Linked DNA regions of Ovis aries. The protein of the gene in region 1 purifies or fractionates together with the protein of each later gene. This does not show direct contact. Links are inferred from orthologs where the notes say so. Each region holds a gene or a part of one and is shown on either strand. Other genes may lie near its edges.

Region 1 (5,303 bases):
AAGATCAACATGATTCCCTGACTAAACTGCCATCTCAGATTTATTCCTGGGAACTGACATCAATAGTAACAACCACCACCACCATTCATCATGTGGTTATCATGTGCTGCTTTCGGGGTGTTTTCATAAGTTACCTCACTTAACTTTCCTAACAATGGAGTTCAGTATTATTAATCCTAATTACTTCCGAATTATAAAAAAAGGAAATTGAGGCTCAATGAGATTTTACCTAAATTTAAAAAGTATACCATGTATAGCATACTATGTCTCCAGGCAGTGTTTCCTGCACAGAAAACACAGGCAAGGGGGCTGCCTTATTGGAAATCTATAGAAAAGCAAACGAATAAAACTAGGAAAAGGTCTTTTTTGTTTCATTACCCATTCTTTACTTGAGAACCAATGGGATATAAATTATTCCCCATCAGCACTAAAAATAAAAGCATGCTGTGAGAGTGTTTTCCCTTCTACAACTGGAACAATTCCGGGAATCGGTTAGTTGCTTGTCTGAGTTAATAGTTTCCAACTCTTAAAGAGTTTAATTTTCAGATTAAAGAAATCATTGTCACCTAATCTGCGGAATAACATTTTAAGTTGTTAAAATGATAATATACTAAATAAAAGTGAAAAAGAATAAGCCATTGAATACGAATAAAGGCTCACCTATGTAAAAAAAAATTGAATCAGATCATTTCAGATTTTAATAATGGTGTGCAAAGAATAAAACTGATGATACAATTGGTATAATAAATGACATAGCAATGGAGGAGGGAGTGCGGTCTTGGGAGGACCCTCAGTGGGACAAGGGAGCTCATTTTAGGACGAGAAGGTAGAGAGTTTTCCAGGTCAAAGAAAATGCAAGTACAGAGGCCCCGAGGCAAGCAGCAGCGTGGCTCCTCCTCAGCTGCAACTCAAGGCGCAAGTAGGTTTAGGCCAAGGTTGGAGGCACCATCGTCAAGTCAGGGAAGGATTTACGCAAAAGGGTAATTCCAACCTACTGAATGGAATAAGGCGCCGCAGAGGCGGGGGCCAGACTGCCCCAATCTCCGACTAGAGTTTCCTGTCCGCGAAGCTGCCCGTCTTACACGCGGGGTGAAGCAACCGGTCAGGAGAGGCTCCAGGCCCAGGGGCCAAAGGGCCAAGGCCTGCGGGGGTGGTGTGTGTGTGTGTGTGTGTGTGTATGTGTGTGTGTGTGAGGCGTGTGACCTCCTAGTGTCGCCAGAGTCGAGGGAGCACCGTAGGCTACGCCCGGCCACCCCCTTCTGCAGCCCCACAACCACCCCCGCCTTTCATGCTTGTTAGAGACCCTAGCCCGTAGCACCTCCCACCCCGTCCGGCCCAGCTGGATTTCCGCCCCCCCCCTCCCCGGGCGGCGAATCCGTTTTCCAAAACTTCGGAACGACCGTACCCCCTTGAGTGATAGGGAGAGGAAATAATACAAGGCTAGGGCGAAGTCCTACAGGAAATAGACCTCTTTATTTCTGCCTTGTTTTTCCTTATGGTTTCCCCAAAACGCCTAGCTTCCCGAGATGCTCTTCAAGTCACCCCCTCCAACAACGAGTCTATTGGTTTGGCCCTTAGTCCCGGATTGGCTTAAGGGTTACGCCTCGGCCTGGGATTGGAGAACGTTGGGTCCTTACGTGTTCCCGGCGCCCATTGGCTCGTTTTCCCCGTTTCTGGGCGGAGTCGCTAGGGCCGGTTTCCACCCACTTGTTTACGGAGCGCGTAGTTGTAGCGCTCTCGGAGCTCTGGGGCTGTCTCTAAAGTTCCCAATTTAGCTCTTTGGACCAATTGGGCGCTGGCTCCCCCCTCTCCCGCTCCCTCGCACGCCTCCCGCGTGGTACGGCCCACACCTTTAGAGCGGCGGCGCGAGCGGCTGTGTTCCTCCGCCCGCGCTCGCCTGGTTGACCCCCCTCGACGGTGCGCTTGGTACGACCCGCGCCGCCTCCTTCTCTAGCTGGGGTGGTTGCCCCCCTCGGGTCGGCGGCGCTTGGTGCCGCCCGGGAGAACCAGGTCATCGGTCGGTTCCCTTGAAAACAAAAACAATCGGCGGCGCCGCGGCGGGCAGCCGAACGCGGCGAGCGGGGAAGCCGGGGCGCGGGGCCGAGTCTGACCAACTAGCGAGAGCAGCGGCTACGCGCCGGGGCCGGGGCGCCATGGGGCAGGCGGGCGCGGGCTTCGCGAGGCTCCCCTGGCGTCGGGGCTAGCGCCTCCGCCGCCTCGGCCTCTCGCGCCGCCCGCCTGGGGGACGAGGAGCAGGACGCGGCCTCGGCCGGGCCCGGGCCGAACGGCTGCGGACACTCGGGAGCCGAGGAGCAAAACACCGCCACCGCCGCCTCCGGGATGGATCAGTGCGTGACGGTGGAGCGCGAGCTGGAGAAGGTGCTGCACAAGTTCTCGGGCTATGGGCAACTGTGCGAGCGCGGCCTGGAGGAGCTCATCGACTACACGGGTGGCCTCAAGCACGAGATCCTGCAGAGCCACGGTAAGGCGGCCCGGATGGTCGCGTGGGACCGGGCCCACCCACCCCGACCCCTCGGGCCCAGGCGGGCCAGGAGGGTGCCTCCGAGAGGCCAAACCCGGCCTTCCCCGGGGCGCTGAGATCCCCAGGCCCCTGTGACTTTTCCTTCTCTTCTCCCCCCGATCTGTCTTGAACCTACCCCGACCTTGTTGTTAATTAAAAGAGAGCGGGAATCCATCCGGAAGCCAATTCTGGAGCCACGGGTTCCATCCAGGGTTAAACCCGGGCGCGGGGCCGGCTCGTCGCACCTGCAGATTTCCTCCCTCGCGGGGTGGGCGTCCCTAGTTAATTGCCTTGGGCCGGAGGATCCGGGCGAAGAGAGGGTCAGTGCAGAGAGCCCCACCCCTCCTCCTCCTCCTCGCCCCAAACATTTAGCCAGGGACTGACTTTGCTCGTCTTTCTTCATTTTTTTTTTAAAATTAGAAACTCGCATGTTATTCTTAGCTGTGGGTTAACAAAACAGCCGCTGCTTCACCTCCATAATTTGACTCTCTGTAGAAGAAGCCTTTCTTTCAACTCCGCAGCGGCACTAATGTGATTCCTAAGAAACTAGCTAAATCAAACTTAAGCTCTCCCAGATGCATTCTGCGATGAGACGGGAGGCAGCCTCCCCAGAAACACCTTGTGGAGCAAGTTGTTAGTTACATGCGTTACCTGGTCAAGTTTTTACTTGTTTTCCTTTCAGAAAGCAGGTTTTCAATGGAAGGTGTTTCTTCTCTATTATTATAGCCCTAGGCCCTGGGGGAAGATACTTGGCTGCAGTTAACTTGTGGAAGCTGGGTGGGATTCTTTGGGTTTGGGTTCTTTAAATAACATGAAAAGTCTGGTATTCTTTAGGTTAAAATGTCTGTAGTGATGATTCTTTCTGAGCAAGAAGTAATGGACTTCATGGAATGGATTTGTTGAGTTTGGGGCCCTGCTCAACTCAGAGGTTGAACAGAAATCTTTGATAAGGAAGGTTTGGTAGCTGGGGTCACATGTGGACACTGGAGCAAGTGTGGTTGAGGACAGTGGCACTGGCTGAACTTCTCTCCACCTCTGTTCCTTCCTGTACACTTTCCTTTCCCAGGCTGTTTTCAGTTGAGAGTTAGTGCTCATCCATGGTGCCTGTGTGCGTGGCTCAGTCCTGTCTGACTGCGTCTCCATGGACTGTAGCCCACCAGACTCCTTTGTCCATGCAGTTTTCCAGGCAAGAGTAATGGAGTTGGTTACCATTTCCTCCTCTAGGGAATCTTTCCGACCTAGGGATCGAACTCACGTCTCCTGCACTGGAAGGTGGATTCTTTACCACTGAACCACCTAGGAAGCCCCATCCATGGTGAAAGAGTCTTATAACAGCATCTCATCCTGGACATGGCAGTCACTTGTGAACTCCGAGAAAGAAGGAAACCCAGTGACCACAGTGGGGTTAGGACTTGAAGTATGAATATGGAAAAATGACCAGACCTAGACGGCTGCCTGCAAGGGGGAAGTAGATGTGGGGTAGGATGGGTCTCCTGGGAATGCTCTGGTGAACTTGGTTTGGGACAAGTGAGAAACTGACGGACTAATGAAGATAGTCAAGGGCATCATGCTTCCTAGTCAAGGGCATCATGTTTCCTATTGGCTGAAGATGCATAGATGGAGTGTGGGAGCAAAGAAAGGTTTAAGATGGTGTCCTGGTGTCCTTCTACAAAGGAGAGTGAAGATCATTACATTACACAGAGGAAAGACAGTAGGGTCTAACCACAGCCTTGAACTCCCCTTGAAGAGTGGAGGTCCTGGAGGTGCCAACAGAAACAGAACGGGCAGGCTTAGAGAGGTTGGTCAGCTGGTGTTTGGCTATTGGGAGTCATAGCCTCTTTGCAAGCAGTTTCATAGAATTGTTAAACTAGATCACTAGGAGTTAAGAAAAATAATAGATTGAGGTGAGAGAGGCTGCTTAAGTAAGGGAGCTGAAGGTGTGCCCCTTCCGCCCCTCATCTGGAGAGGCAATCTTTTTGTATCGTTAAAGACTGAAAAGGGACTTCCCAGGTGGTGCTAGTGGCTTCTGCCTGCCAATGCAGAAGACAGAAGAGCTGCAAGTTAGATCCCCGAGCCAGGAAGATCCCCTGGAGGAGGCTATGGCAACCCACTCCAGTATTCTTGACTGGAGAATCCAAGGAGCTTGGTGGGCTACAGTCCGTAGGGTCCCAAGGGTTGGGCCTGCTTCACATGCAAAGACTGAAAAAGGTAGGAGTAGGTGAAGGGTGTAGACTTGGAGAGGTGGAAGGAAGGATTTCATTTTTAAGGAACAGGTTGAATATTGAGGGCTTGTAGAGTTTGAGAGAGAGAGAAGACAGAAACTATTTAAAAATCCCTTTATTCCATGAGAGAGAAGATAGAAGCTATTTAAAAATCCCTTTCTTCCATGAGAGAGAGAGAGAATATTAATTGAAGGTGAATGATTTGAGTATCGTTTTAGGGGATTTGGGGCCCATCCCAGATGGATAAAATAATTTTGAGAACTTGCTGAAGCAGAAATGTGTTTTAGACCTCTTTCCTTGGGACTTTTCGAGGAACTTACGGTCAGAGGGATATTAGTCACAGAGTTTGCTGTGTTGTTCAAACAGTCTGATGTGAATTGTGGCGTTCTGCCTATTTTTTACCTTCCTATCTAACAAATTGCAGTTTTATATTGATAATCTCTTTGATTTTCTTTAATTCTTTAAGAATAGGATTAAGAGACTAAGGAATTCTCCAGGCAAGAATACTGGAGTGCATTGCCATACCCCTCTCCAGAGGATCTTCTCAACCCAGGGATCGA
Region 2 (5,272 bases), on another chromosome or scaffold:
TCTGATCACAGAACCTAAAGAAAAAAGCTCCCGGCTGGCGCGAGTGGTAAAGAACCCGCCTGCTCATGCCGGAGATCTAACAGACGATCCCTGGGGTCAGGAAGACCTCCTGGAGGAGGGAACAGTGACCCACCCAGTACCCTTCTCTGGAGCGCCCCTCGGACACAGGAGCCTGGAAGGCCACAGTCCACAGGATCGCACAGAGCTGGACACGACTGAAGCGACTTGGCACGCATGCAAAGAAAAAGGAGGTGAGGACCCAGCCCGCGGCCACCATGCCCTCGTCTCCAAGGCCCCGTGCTTCGCGCCACCGGCGCGTCTCAAACCTCAGACCACGCGGATCCCCAAGTCCAGCTGAGACCGAGTTTGGAAAACTGGACTGCAAGTTGTAACTTTAGGCATATACTTGGAACGCAAAGTACAAAGCCAGGATTCGAAATTGCAGATAAGTACTTGGTCAACAAAACCGTCGCCAAGCTAAAAGTAGAAAACTTACATACTTCTATGGAGAATTAAAACACAGCCGAACTGTCCCCAGATAGAGTGGGGGCGACGTGCCGGGCAATGGGTGCTGGGAGCGGGTGCTGACACGGGCGACCCCTGGCCGAGGCGCCCAGACGAGGTTCCGGGTGCCCGGGGGGTGGGCCCAGGGGGACCCACGGGAGGAGTGAGGTGCAGGGCCGGTCTCCCATCACCAACACCACGTCCCCAATCCTGGCTGAGCGGACCCTGCTGATTCGCGGGGTGACAGACGCGCCTCTATAAAATACGATTTCCCTTCAGTTATCTGAAAGGAAAAAACAGAAGTAAAAACCCCAAAACCGAATGGGGCAGTCAGCAAAATAACTTGGAGAATGAACACAAATTGCTTTCATAATCAGAAAACACTTCCAAAGACAAAACAGGGTTTCCAGCTCACAGGTTTCCACTCCTCCTTCCCTGAGGCCCGGGGGGCGTGAGCCAGAGCCCACACGGACAGCACTCCAGGGAGCTTCGCCGGCCAGGCCAGGGCCCAGGCGCGCCCCCGGCGCCCACTGCGGGGAGGACGCCTCCCCCACAGCCAGGGCGGCCAGGCCAGCGGCTGTCAGCCGGCGGGGCGGAGGCCAGGGCTGCTGCTTGGCCTCCTGCAGCCCCACTGCAGACACGCGCCCCAGGGTCCCCAGGCCTGGGGTCAGGGAGGAGGGCAGGTCAGAAGGCGCCAGCAGCCTCAACCCGGCCGCGCCCCGCCGCCCCCCACCCGCCTCCTCTCTGAAGGAGGCTTGCCCGCGGCATACTGGTCCCCACTGCCTGCGGGAGGACCTGCCTTCGCGCTGGAGCTCGGCCTTCCAGCACCGGCCTCGGCCCCCTCCGCACCTCTGCACCCCGCTCAGATGAGACCAGCAGAGCTCCCGAGACAATCGCTTTCCTGTGCTCTAATTTTGCTTCCCAACCGAGCAGCCCTCGTTCCCAGTGAAACTTCCTCATCGCCCACTGGGAACTAGTCCCGAGAAAGGTTCACCAGCAGCGACACCTGTGTCAAGACGAGAGGGATTATCCTGCGGGATGTAAACAATCTGTACGGGAAAAACGGACAGAGCACCTCGTGAAAATTCTACTTTCCAAAATCACTCCAATAAAGCAGCGAAACATTTTCAGCTGGCAGGCTCACTTGAGACGACATTAGAACATCTCTCTGCCCCTAAGAATGGCGGCACGCCTCCTTTGCGCCTGTGCGCTCGGCTGTGTCCGACTCTGCGACCCCAACGACTCCTCTGTCCGTGGGATTCTCCAGGCAAGAACACTGGAGCTGGGTTGCCATTTCCTCCTCCAGGGGATCCTCCTGACCCAGGGGTCGACCCCACGTCTCCGGCCGCCTGCACTGGTAGGTGAATTCTTTTCCACTGAGCCACCTGGGAAGGCTGCGTGACTACTTCAGTCAAAGTCTATTTAACAGGTTTGGAACTCAAACTGCGTTCATGGTTATGAACTGAGAGAGGAGGACCTGGAGGAGACATCCTTCCAGTCTGGTGTTTCCCACTTCTCACGTCTCAGCCTCCTTGTCTGTCAGTGGAACGGCGGGCCTGATGGGGTCTGAGTGAGATAATGGGTCAGCAGCTAACAGCTCCCTACTCATACTTTTTTTGGTGCTGGTGGGGGCACTTAGTTGGGTGCATGGGGCAGCAGAGAACCCTGGCCTCTGAGATGCAGGGTCTTGCCTGAGTTGCGTATAAAAACACCACGCCCTACAAGGGGGTCCAGCAAACAGGCCTCTGGTTCACGTCAGCGGCACAGGGCTTCCCTCCCTCCCTCCCTTCCCCTCAGGGCTCAAGGAGTAAGGAGTGTGGCAGCTACCTCCCAAGCCAGAGCCCGCACTGCACCCTGAGCAGAGCAAACAATCTCCAAGGGTTCAGGACCCTCCAGAGGTCTCCTGAGAATCGACCAGAGCTCATGGCAATCTTGCCACAATGCACCCACCACCTGTCACCATTTTGGTGGACAGGGAAGCTGGGCCCTCCAGGAGCAGAGACGCTACTTGACTCCCAGGGAAAGAACTCAGACTTCCACAGGCTCAGCTGCAGCTCTCCTGGGAACGTTACAACCTTGATCCTTGAAGGAATTTACTCCCAGCTGTTTCACTGCAGCCAGTCAGCGTTGAATCCTCTACTAACTAGGTAAGAACTACTTGGGGGCCCCTCTCCCAGGAAAGGCGGTTCCACTGCAGTCTACGTCGACTTGGCTAAGCGGCCATCCAAGGTCACGCAACTGTCGGCCAAGCGGCAAGAGCTGTATTTCAGGTTTGGTGACGCCCCGCGGTGGTGAGGCCTCTCTGCACAGGTCCCTAATGAGAGGCTGGAAGCCATCCGTCAGCACCGTCTGACAGAAGCTTCCGGGACGAAAGCTGGACGCAACCGCCGGCTACCGGTCTTTCTCTCGCTGGGTGCCCCCGACCCCACAGCCCCGAGATCCCCGCCTCCAAAGCAACCAGCCTGGCCACGGCCAGAACGGTCCCTGCTGCGGCTCGCGTTCTTTCGAGGACGAAGGGCTCCAGAGGGCGAAGTGGGGCGCCAGGGAGACGCGCTCCCTGCCCAGTCGCGGCGGCAGAGACGGCCACACGCCGCGCCCGCCCGGCCCGCAGGTCCCCGGCCGCAGAGCGCAGGCACCCAGGCCCCAGGCCCCGGGGAGCCCGGCCGCAGAGCGCAGGCACCCAGGCCCCAGGCCCCGGGGAGCCCGGCCGCAGGCCCCGGGGAGCCCGGCCGCAGACCCCGGGGAGCCCGGCCGCAGACCCCGGGGAGCCCGGCCGCAGAGCGCAGGCACCCAGGCCCCAGGCCCCGGGGAGCCCGGCCGCAGGCCCTCGGCCCCCGCCCGGCGCCCCAGGCCGCGCCCCGGCCTCGGGCCCGCCCCCCACCGCCGCGCCCGCTCGCCGCCCCGCCCGCCGCCCCTGGCAGGCGCGGGCGCACCGCGGCCACAGACCCCACCTTGAGGGTCGGGTACTCCTGCACCTTCAGGGTCATGGAGAGCTGAGCGGCGGACTCCTGCACCGCCATCTTGGCTCGGCCAAAACATCAGGGGCGGCGGGGAGGCGCGGCGCGCGGCACGCCGGGTAGTGACGTCGAGGGGCGCGGCGGGCCGGCGCCCGCGCCCAGCGCCTCCGCTCGCCGCTCGGCGGCCGAGGAAGAAGGCGCGGCCACCGGCCCACCCAATCCCCGCCCGCCCTTCTCCCCTCCAGCCAATCAACGGGAAGCCCGGCTGGGCGGGGTCCCTCCTTGAACCTGAGGCGGGGTGGGGCCGGCGGCTCTGTGCGCGGAGCTCCCGGGTTGCCGGCGGCCCTGCGCCCGGCGCTGGCGGTCGGGGGCTCCCGCGGGGTGGGGGAGCGCGCTCCCGCGAGCAGCGCGGCCGTGGCGGTCACTGGGCTCCCGCGGGCCGGCCTCCAGCTAGTGAGCCCGCTGTGCCAGGACGTCTGCAGGCTCCCAGCGCCTGTCCGTGGGCTGCTCTCCGCAGAGGGGCGCGGCTGCAGCCCACAGCGGCGGCCCAGGCACCCGCGCTGGGGAGGGGAGGTGGCGGTTCTGAACTCGGCAAGGAAAGAGGCCGCCGCAGTGTACAAAGGCCCGGTGCGGGCAGAGCCTCCGGCGTCCCTGGCTCCCACACCGACTCAAGTTGCCTTTCAAACCGCTCCATATACTTAGCCCCTTTTAGTCCTTGCAAAAATAGAAATTAAATTAGGTTTCACTAGTTAGAAGACTTTCACATTAAGCCAAATTTCACACTCTTTTTAAATGATTTTTTTAAAGAAACATTAGCGTTAAAAACCCATGCACCTGAGGCGGCACAAGAAATCCACTGTTGCGGGGGGCACGCCGTCTGGACCCTCTACAGACATCTTCACCAGCCTCGCCACACACGCACACGCACGCACGCACGCACACACGTCAGCCTGAGTAAATACATCAGGGCTTTCAGAGTCTTCGCAGCTAAAGGCTAACTAACGAAGCCTCTGTCAGCTGTAATAGGATGACAGCCAGTTTTTTTCACCAGGAAACGAGAAATTAAGTGAAAGCCGCTCAGTCGTGTCCGCCTCTTTGCGACCCCATGGACTGTGTATGGAATTCTCTAGGCCAGAATACTGGAGTGGGTAGCCTTTCCCTTCTCCAGGGGATCTTCCCACCCAGGGATCGAATCCAGGTCTCCCGCATTGCAGGCAGATTCTTTACCAGCTGAATAAAAAGATCTGTAATTTAATAATATCTTAATTTTTTACGTGGGCAACACATTTCACCAAAGAAGGCACACGAACAGCTGAAGAACAAATGAAAAGACCCTCAACACCACTAGCCACAAAGACAGACCACTTCAAGCGCCAGATTAGCTATGACCAACACCGTGGAGGGACCAGAGTTCAGAACGCACAGAGAGGGGCCCACCACAGGCAAATCCGGAGCACAAGCCCCGGGAGCTCGTTTTCTAGGGAAAAAATCTGGGTGGGGCTCTGAGAGCCAGAGTCCACTGGAGGGGCGAAGCACAGAACCTTCCAAATTAGCTGGGCTGCTGGGGGCAGGGGCAGAGGGAAGTTTTCTTCTTCCTGCCAGAAAGCAGGTAGAAGTCTCTTCCAGTCAGGGAAATTGACACGCGAGGAGGGTATGAGAGCGCCTCCTACCGGCCTGCCTTAACTCCAAAGGCTAGCTGACTATTCCTTAATGAATTCCACATTTTCCCCTTTTGATCAACATCTTTCCTTGAAAGCATCACTGATCAAGAATCAGGGTCTTCCCACGTAGCAGACTGCCAGTGGCTTGTG

Evidence for each region.
Region 2: the proteins of RMND5A (region 1) and MAEA purify together in Homo sapiens (affinity purification with mass spectrometry; 5 studies listed by BioGRID and IntAct, counting the BioPlex papers as one, with this or other methods). This does not show direct contact. The link is inferred for Ovis aries from reciprocal best matches to the Homo sapiens genes RMND5A and MAEA.

What each region holds. Positions count from the first base shown.
Region 1 is NC_056056.1:58,558,986-58,564,288, forward strand, and holds the start of RMND5A (E3 ubiquitin-protein transferase RMND5A), read left to right. Parts: upstream 1-1,846; 5' UTR 1,847-2,340; coding exon 2,341-2,482; intron 2,483-5,303.
Region 2 is NC_056059.1:117,810,445-117,815,716, forward strand, and holds the start of MAEA (E3 ubiquitin-protein transferase MAEA), read right to left. Parts: upstream 3,545-5,272; 5' UTR 3,525-3,544; coding exon 3,456-3,524; intron 1-3,455.